Ovis aries: one gene and its partner. The main gene of each other region encodes a partner of the protein of the gene in region 2 in a complex. Links are inferred from orthologs where the notes say so. Each region holds a gene or a part of one and is shown on either strand. Other genes may lie near its edges.

Region 1 (4,002 bases), on a different chromosome or scaffold from region 2:
CCCAGATGCCCTTGATAAACACATTTTCAACACGGGCTCCTCCTTTCTATGGGGCCAGAAGCACCGGAGATGAGGTGCTCTCTTGGGAGGAAGGGACTCCGGGCTGCAGAGGGCTCAGGAAAACTCGTGAGTCGGTGTCCGGCAGGCAAGGCCACTCCACCCACAGTGCCCAGACCCCTGAGGACTGGCCGCGGCTTTTGTTCTGAGACCAGAGATGCCCAGGGGACCCTGCCTGTGGCCCGCCTTGTTTTCATTTCTGTCTCTGCGTTTCTCAAAGCCCGGCTCTCAGGGACCCTGCAGATCAGATAAATAACCATGTGAAGTGGAAGAAGAGTCTGTACTTAAACTCGAGGGTTAAAAACTAAAAGCAGCTTCCCAGGATCGTTTAAATGGGGATGGCTCTTCCCAGTGACTCTGGAGAGACTGGGACAAGAGCTATTTGCTGTTTGCCTCCTTTCCTGTGGGAAAACAGGAAATAAACAGAGGAGGGGTTTCTTCAAGGCTGATGGCTGTCCCCAGTGAAACCATGCCTGCAAGTTTGAAAGTAGGGGTGGGGTGACATGGGAAGTGAAAGGTCTCCCCTCACCCCTCCTTGAGGTCAAAACCTGAAGGGGTCACTGCGGACAGAGGACGTGCAGGAAGCAGAGTGGGGGTGGGCGGCATGCAGCCTGGGGTCCGCAGCGTCCCCTTTAGCGCCTGGAGGCGAGCCACTTCCCACCTCCGCCACTTCCTGTGCCCACGGAGGAATTCCACGGCATCGAGCCGGTCACTGAGCCCCGGGGTCCATGTGCTTGCCCGTAAATGCAGCGGTCGAACTAGGACTCTCTGACGGGCGCCACTAGTCTACACTCACTGGAGTTCTGCATCCTGAACGGAGTGAAATTACTCACACCAAGTGCAGACGATGTCCCATCAAAGATAAGACCCCAAGGGTCAGCCACCCTGCGTGACGGCTCCAGGAGCAGAGTCGGAGCAGAAAGAGAGCCATCGACGCTCAGTCTTGGCACGAGCATGTTTTGGCCTCTTCAGGTCAAGGATGGACGGGAGCATTCAGGGAGAGACAGAGGGACCCGAGACAGGGCCCAGAACAGGGCCCCAAGGAGCGTCTGCCTTCCGAGACGCTCCCCCGGGGAGGCCTGAACAGGGGCTGAGGCTGGGAATCCCAGAGGAAGGCGAGGCCTCGGAAGGGCCTGGGTCAGTCCCTTCAGTTAAACCTACAGAAAAACCCACCCTGCCTCGAAGTCTCAGGGAAAACTCCCCTGTCCCTTTATCTGACTTGGAAAAGCAAGGGCTCGGAGCAATGACCGGCGACCCCAACGTTTCAGGAAGAGCAGGGTCAGCACCAGCGCCGCAGCCAGCCCGACCAGAGCAGGTTTGCCCGAGATGCCGGCCCGGTTTCACTCACGTGGTCCGAGAAGGTAGCCGGCACTGTTCAGGGTCCAGCCTCTCTTCTCCTTCACCTTAAACGGGAGGGCAGGGGTCAGAGGGCAAGCATCCTGCCTGGTACAGGCCACGATGGCTCAAAGAAGCCCCCAGCGGCAGCTTCTGCTCATATAACCCACCACGGCAGCCTGTGAAGTCAGCATCTACTTCAAATAGCCACACGGCTTCAATGACAAAGACTCGACTCTCACAGAATAAGCTGAGAGAGGCAAACTGTTGAAGCAAGAGCTTTAAATGAAATCAGAAAGACATTAAGTGAAATTCACCCAGACTTTCCAGGCAGGATACAGGAATCAGAATAATGCATGTACTTTGGGAAACTGCAAGACATTCCACACTTGCACCCCAGTAAGCTACGCTCGACAGGAGAACAGCAATGCCTGCCTTGTCCAAGAATCCCTTTAGAGCTGCAGACCACAGACTCAGAGTGCACCCACTGGCTTTAAATGATGCTGAAGACACGTGTTGCTAAAACCAGCTGGCAAACGGGGTAACTGACGCTCTACTGAACTTAACCAAATGGGGTTCACCCCTCACTGGTTTGAGGCGCTAACCGCCGGTTCGCAGGGTCCCCATTTAGTGGCCCTGGAGGATCCGAGCCCGCCACCCATCTGCTTTGAGGACTCGGGCCCCTCCCGGCGCCGCCCGCCCCCCGCCCCACTCCCCAGTTTTCCGAAGCCCCCACACCCCCTCCCACCCCGAGGCAGAATCGATGGCTCTGTTCCTGGCACAAGGCACTCACCTCACCCCCACCCCCACCCCCAGTCTGGTTCTGATGCGGTCGCCCCCTTTGCCGAGAAGGAGACTCGGCTTGGGGGGCGTTTGCCCCCGCCCTGCGCTTACCGGTGACCCGAGGCCCAGGGTGGCTGAAAGGGCCGCAGCGAGGAGCAGGGAGGCGAGCAGGAGGATGGAGCCTCTGGGCATCTGCAAGGGAAGGGGCGGTGGGCGGCGGCGCGGGGAGACCGGCCTCCTTCCCCAGGGCGCACGTCGGCCTGGGGCTCCGGACCCCCACCCCCACCCCTGCGGGTGCAGGAGGAGCAGCCAGGAGCCAGGGGCCCAGGAGAGAGCCCGGCCAGGGCGGAGGCGCCGCGCCAGCCCCGGGGGGGGTCCACCGGCAGGCGCGCACTCTGGAGAGGGGAACGAGGAGAAAGAGTGGGGTGAGCTCGGGGGCGCGGTACCTTGAGCGGGGCCCGGAGGGTCGGGGGATGTCTGCGGGTGCTGGGGTGTCTGCAGGTCCTGTGTCGGCGGGGCCGCGCGTCCGTCGAGTCGGGTGGGGCAGGGCCGGGACGCTCACCGCATGGCGCGGCCTCGGGACGCGGAGGCGGGAAGCGCAGGGCGGCCGGGCTCCCTCGACGTGTCCGCGCCGGGAGCCGCCGCCGCCGCTATTTATGCGGCGCATCCCGGAGCCGCTCGGCCGCGTCACGGGCTCCGCTCCCGCCTCCTGCGCCCTCGCCGGCCCGAGTGGGCGGGAGTGACCGGAACTCAGTCCCCGGGGGGCCTCGGAGCGCCCGCGGGGGCGGCGGGGCGCGCGGTGGTCCTGCCTTGCGAGTGGGGCTGGCGGGGATGGCGAGAAGCGCCCCCCCGCACCTGGCGGGAGAGCCCCCATCGCCGCGAATGGAGAGCCCCCAGCCCGCGGCGGAGACCCCACGCCTGTTGGCGCGACCCCCGAGCCAGGCACAGCGGCCCCTGCGCAGGGAGCTCCGCAGCCGAAAGCCCTCACTCTGAGCTGGGCGCGATCGCGGAGTCCTGGGCACCGCCGACCAGGCACCCTGTTGTAGCGGCAGGATTATGAGTTCAGCCTCGAGAACCATCCACAGGGGAAGGACAGCAGCCTGAAGCCCGCCCAGCTTCCTCCTCCCGTGCCCAGTGGCCCTCCCTACCCAGACCCCAGGCCCCTTTCCCTGGGGTGGGCTAAGTCGCTTCAGTCATGTCCGACTCTTTGCGACCCCATGGACTGTGGCCCGCCAGGCTCCTCTGTCGGTGGGATTTCCCAAGCAAGAAGACTGGATTGGGTAGCCACCCTCTTCTCCAGGGGATCTTCCCGACCCAGGGATCGAACCTGTCTCCCGCATTGGCAAGTGGGTTCTTTACCACTAGCCCCACCTGGAAGCCCCTCCTCTTTTTCTAAAAGGGGGCGGATCCGCAAGCGCACTTAGGCTGTGGGTCTGCTGGCTGGTCGGCTCTCGGCCTGAGGGCTGTGGGCGCCCCTCTCCATTCCACTGCGCTGCTGGGCGGGAAGGGGTACCTGCAGCCCTTCGGGACTAGGCAGCGCTCTTGGGAGCAGGGTCAGGTAGTGGTTGAGGCTTTAAGGGCCTGGAACCAGACCCGCCAAGGTTCCCAGAGGCGGCCAAGGGCTGGGTGGGTGGGCAGCGGACAGCAGGGTGCGGCTGCCCTGGACAGGCGGCCAGAGTCCCCTGGGAACGGGCTGTCGGTGGCTGACTGCAGGGTGCGCCTTAGCTTGGGCCAGGCCTTGCTTGCAAAGACAGCTGGGGACACACAGGCTGGGTGCCTCCAGGCTTCTGAGGAAGGAGGAAGCCATCAGGAGAAAATCTGCTCGAG
Region 2 (3,511 bases):
TTTTCCCTGGCCATCAAACATGAAAAGTCATGATTTTCCATCCTCTGACAATTTTCTCCTCTTCTGTCCAGAGAACTATTTATAACTTGGTAAATGTAAATACGGTTAGCTGGAAGAATATAGTTAGTAAAATAAATTCACAAACTAGAGAAGCTAACATGCAGACTTACACTGAGTTGATCTTTTTGATCCAAAATTTGATATTTCACTTGAAGTCCTCATATGACTCAGGTATGCATTACACAAAATTCTTTTAAAAATTTTTTCTTGCTTTTGTATCATGCTAAAATACATCAGTCTTGCAGTCTGAAAATTATTTACTAATATAGAATCATTTCATCTTTTCATACCATTTTCTCATTATTAAATTTGAAACTGTCACAAAAAACTACATTTGAAATTAAGTTATGATGATTTGAACCCCAGATTAACATTTCTAGAGGGATCAATGTTTGGGATAAATATGCATTAGACATCATTACAAATTTGATGAAAAAAGCATTTGTTTGTACATGATATGCCCAGCTATGTCCAACCATTAGATTATTTTTTCAGAGTTTATCTGAACCAGACATTTCACTACACTTACTAACTTTCCTCACATGGCGTGACCATTGTCTCATGTGGCTTATAATTCAGAGAAATTATTCTGAATTCATAGAAATTATTTTCTGTACATCATTTTCACTGACAGTTTAAAAATTCTCCTTTTGAGTAGATTCCACTCAAGGCACAGCTAATACCTGAAAATACATATATGTGTGTGTCGATATGTAAACTTTTAATGTCCAGTTTCATTCTCAGAAACTCATTCACAGCTTCCACCATGAGAACAGTCGCAGGTGGTGGTTTTCCCTGATTTTTTTGGTCATCTCAACGAAGACTAAGTTCACAGCGTAGTTTTTCACTGACATCCTGATGGCTGGATGCCCCAGGGTCATGCTGCTGACTGCCTGAGATAAGCTTATGACCTCATGACTGCAGACGGACACAGCACGTTGCAGAAGCCCCATGCACTGTTTACAGCTGGGAGCAGATGCAGCAAATGTGCAAATAAGCTTATTTCCATCAGATGGATATGTCTTAATACAAACGGCCACAAAAATAAAACTCAGGATCAAGTGTCCACAATCGTATCTGAAACACATATAGTTTCAGCATTACCACTGATCTTACAATTAGAACAAAAGCATGTGTTTTCTAATTACATCTGTTTCAAAACAATGTAGATCACAAATATTCCTGACCACCTTGATAGGCCCTTCTTCCTTATCCTACAAAGAATACAGATCTAGAGAGTCCAATTATAGACTCTTTACAGTCTTTAAATAAAGTTTCTTGAGAAACTTTCATTTCTCAAGATGTATAAAACTATATTACTCTTTTTTGCTTATGGAATAGAATTTAGAAATAAAATTTAGAAATGGCCTTCACATCGCTTCTCGGCCTTTTGGCTAAGATCAAGTGTAGAAATGGCCTTCACGAGACCTAGGGATTTTCCAGGTAGATCAAAGTACTTTTTAAACACAAGTGGAATTCAATCACTATAATATGAATTGTTGTTAAGACAGCAAGTTACTGCCTTGCTTAACACCCCAATGTATTTCTCTGTGTCTGGTCCACGTGCATCCAAATACCACATTTTGAAATAATACTCTTTTTTCACACGTGAGTACAATTGGTTGATGGTGGGGTGTCTAGTCGACTTTTATTTTCTTTAGTGTCATTAAGAGGTGACTCCTTGCGGGCTTGGCACTTGAACACTTGCTTATAAGCCTTCCTGAAGTTTTCGGAGAGAAAGGCGTAAATGATGGGGTTCACGGAGGAGTTGCTGTAGGCCAGGCAGTGGGCAGTGATCCTGAAGAAGAAGGAGGCGGGGGTCAGCGGGAACACCCCAAACTCAGCCCAGAGATGGATGACGTGGTGGGGCAACCAGGAGATCCCGAAGACCACCACCACCACCAGCACCGTCTGCGCGGTCTAGGAGAAGGGAAGGAAGCAGAGGCGCTGGTCACAACAGGGGAGAAGGGAAGGAGCAGAGGCGCTGGTCACAACAGGGGAGAAGGGAAGGAGCAGAGGCGCTGGTCACAACAGACAGGAGCCCAGCACCCTAGCTCATGCACTGACAGAGGGAATTTCCTGTACATTTTCACAGAATCAAGTGCGTCCTAAACCTGCTCTGGGTGCTGACCTTCCCTCTGCAGTCACACCCCTAAAGGAGCTAAAAGCGTGGCCGGGTGGTCCCCTGTCGGCTTTGCCCCTGGAGAGAAGTGATCCCACTGGGATCCATGAATTCTGGCAGGCAGGGTGGAGGGGAAGGAGAGAGAGAAGGAAGGTGCTTATTTTCCCTCCAGCCTCACACCATGGAGCCCGGACTCCGCCACCAGGAAACCGTGGTGGACCCACAGGTCCTTTCACAGGAGAAGCTTGGACCCCCGCCCTGCAGGAATGTCCTTATGGTATGCCATGACTTTGCTCTTACTTCCTGTGAGTTAGAACCCGATTGTCACAGCCCACAGCCCCCAGAACGTGAGGCTTAAGATAGCAAGTCTTCTAGAAGAGACGCGGGGTAGCTGACTGACTCGGAGAGGACGTTTGTCCAAGAGGCGGGCTGAAGCCAGGGAACCCGGCAGAGATGGGAGAGGACGTGCTCGGACTTCAGGACGAGGTTGGAGCAAGGGCGACCGGCCAGGGCACCAGAGACGGGAGTTACGCTCATGTTTACTCTGACCACGTGATGGTCAGAAGGGGCCACGACCCATGCAAAAGCCAGCCACCTCCCTGGGCCTCAGCCTCCTGGCCTGTGACTGGGGTGACCCAGCGTGATGATTCTCTGAGTGGGCCTGGTCCACTTAACACCTTCAAACAGCTCAGGTACAAAGCTGACCGCAGGGTTTCCAGGGCGGCAGGCTTCCAGACTGAGGCTGCCGCGTGCACAACACAGAGAACAGACCAGCACCCTGCTCCTGGACGTCAAGGATCATCTGCTATCCGACCGTTACCCACTAGTGTATGGGATGCGGTCCTGATGATTCAATAACCATCTAGACGCAATTACACCTACAGATAGCTCGGAGCACACCCGCTGTCCTGCCTAAGGCAGGAAGGCCGTTTCTGTGCCGCACAAAATGCATGCTCTCTGGATATTCTGTTTCACTGCTCCTTTCAGGAGGTTTTCACTAAGTAACGAGCTGAGGGCAGAACCACACCCCGACAGCTTACAGCTGAGAGCCACACTGTATCTGTATCCCTGCAAGGCAACTGTCAGCAGGGCGGCCTTTCTATGGAGGGTTTGTTACCTTGTGTGTGTTTACCCAAGGTCATTCAAAATCTGCCTTTTATTTTAGCAGGTCTACTGGTCTTTTCAGAACCATGAACGAGATTCCTTTCCTTGGTCTGCCTGTAGCTTTGAAATATGAGTGACTTAAGACTGCAATATAAATCAGGAAAGAATATCAATGGGTACTTACATAAACTTTATCATTCACCAAATGATGCTCCCAAAAGAATT

The links. Proteins that work in one complex are often made in the same cells at the same time.
Region 1: the proteins of GALR1 (region 2) and GAL are in contact, whole or in part, in a cryo-EM structure (PDB 7WQ3), measured with the Homo sapiens proteins. The link is inferred for Ovis aries from reciprocal best matches to the Homo sapiens genes GALR1 and GAL. Residues at the interface, in NP_001471.2 of Homo sapiens: Glu32, Gln92, Thr94, Val95, Tyr96, Leu98, Pro99, Thr100, His112, Gln174, Phe177, Arg180, Gln184, Phe186, Cys187, Trp188, Glu189, Gln190, Ile266, His267, Ala270, Phe275, Leu277, Ser281, Phe282, Arg285; in NP_057057.2 of Homo sapiens: Gly33, Trp34, Leu36, Asn37, Ser38, Gly40, Tyr41, Leu42, Leu43, Gly44, Pro45, Val48.

The regions. Positions count from the first base shown.
Region 1 is NC_056074.1:42,492,028-42,496,029, reverse strand, and holds the start of GAL (galanin), read right to left. Parts: upstream 2,806-4,002; 5' UTR 2,622-2,805; intron 2,368-2,621; coding exon 2,287-2,367; intron 1,461-2,286; coding exon 1,406-1,460; intron 1-1,405. UniProt on the Homo sapiens protein: Endocrine hormone of the central and peripheral nervous systems that binds and activates the G protein-coupled receptors GALR1, GALR2, and GALR3.
Region 2 is NC_056076.1:2,338,483-2,341,993, forward strand, and holds part of GALR1 (galanin receptor type 1), read right to left. Parts: intron 1,981-3,511; coding exon 1,663-1,980; 3' UTR 1-1,662. UniProt on the Homo sapiens protein: Receptor for the hormone galanin. The activity of this receptor is mediated by G proteins that inhibit adenylate cyclase activity.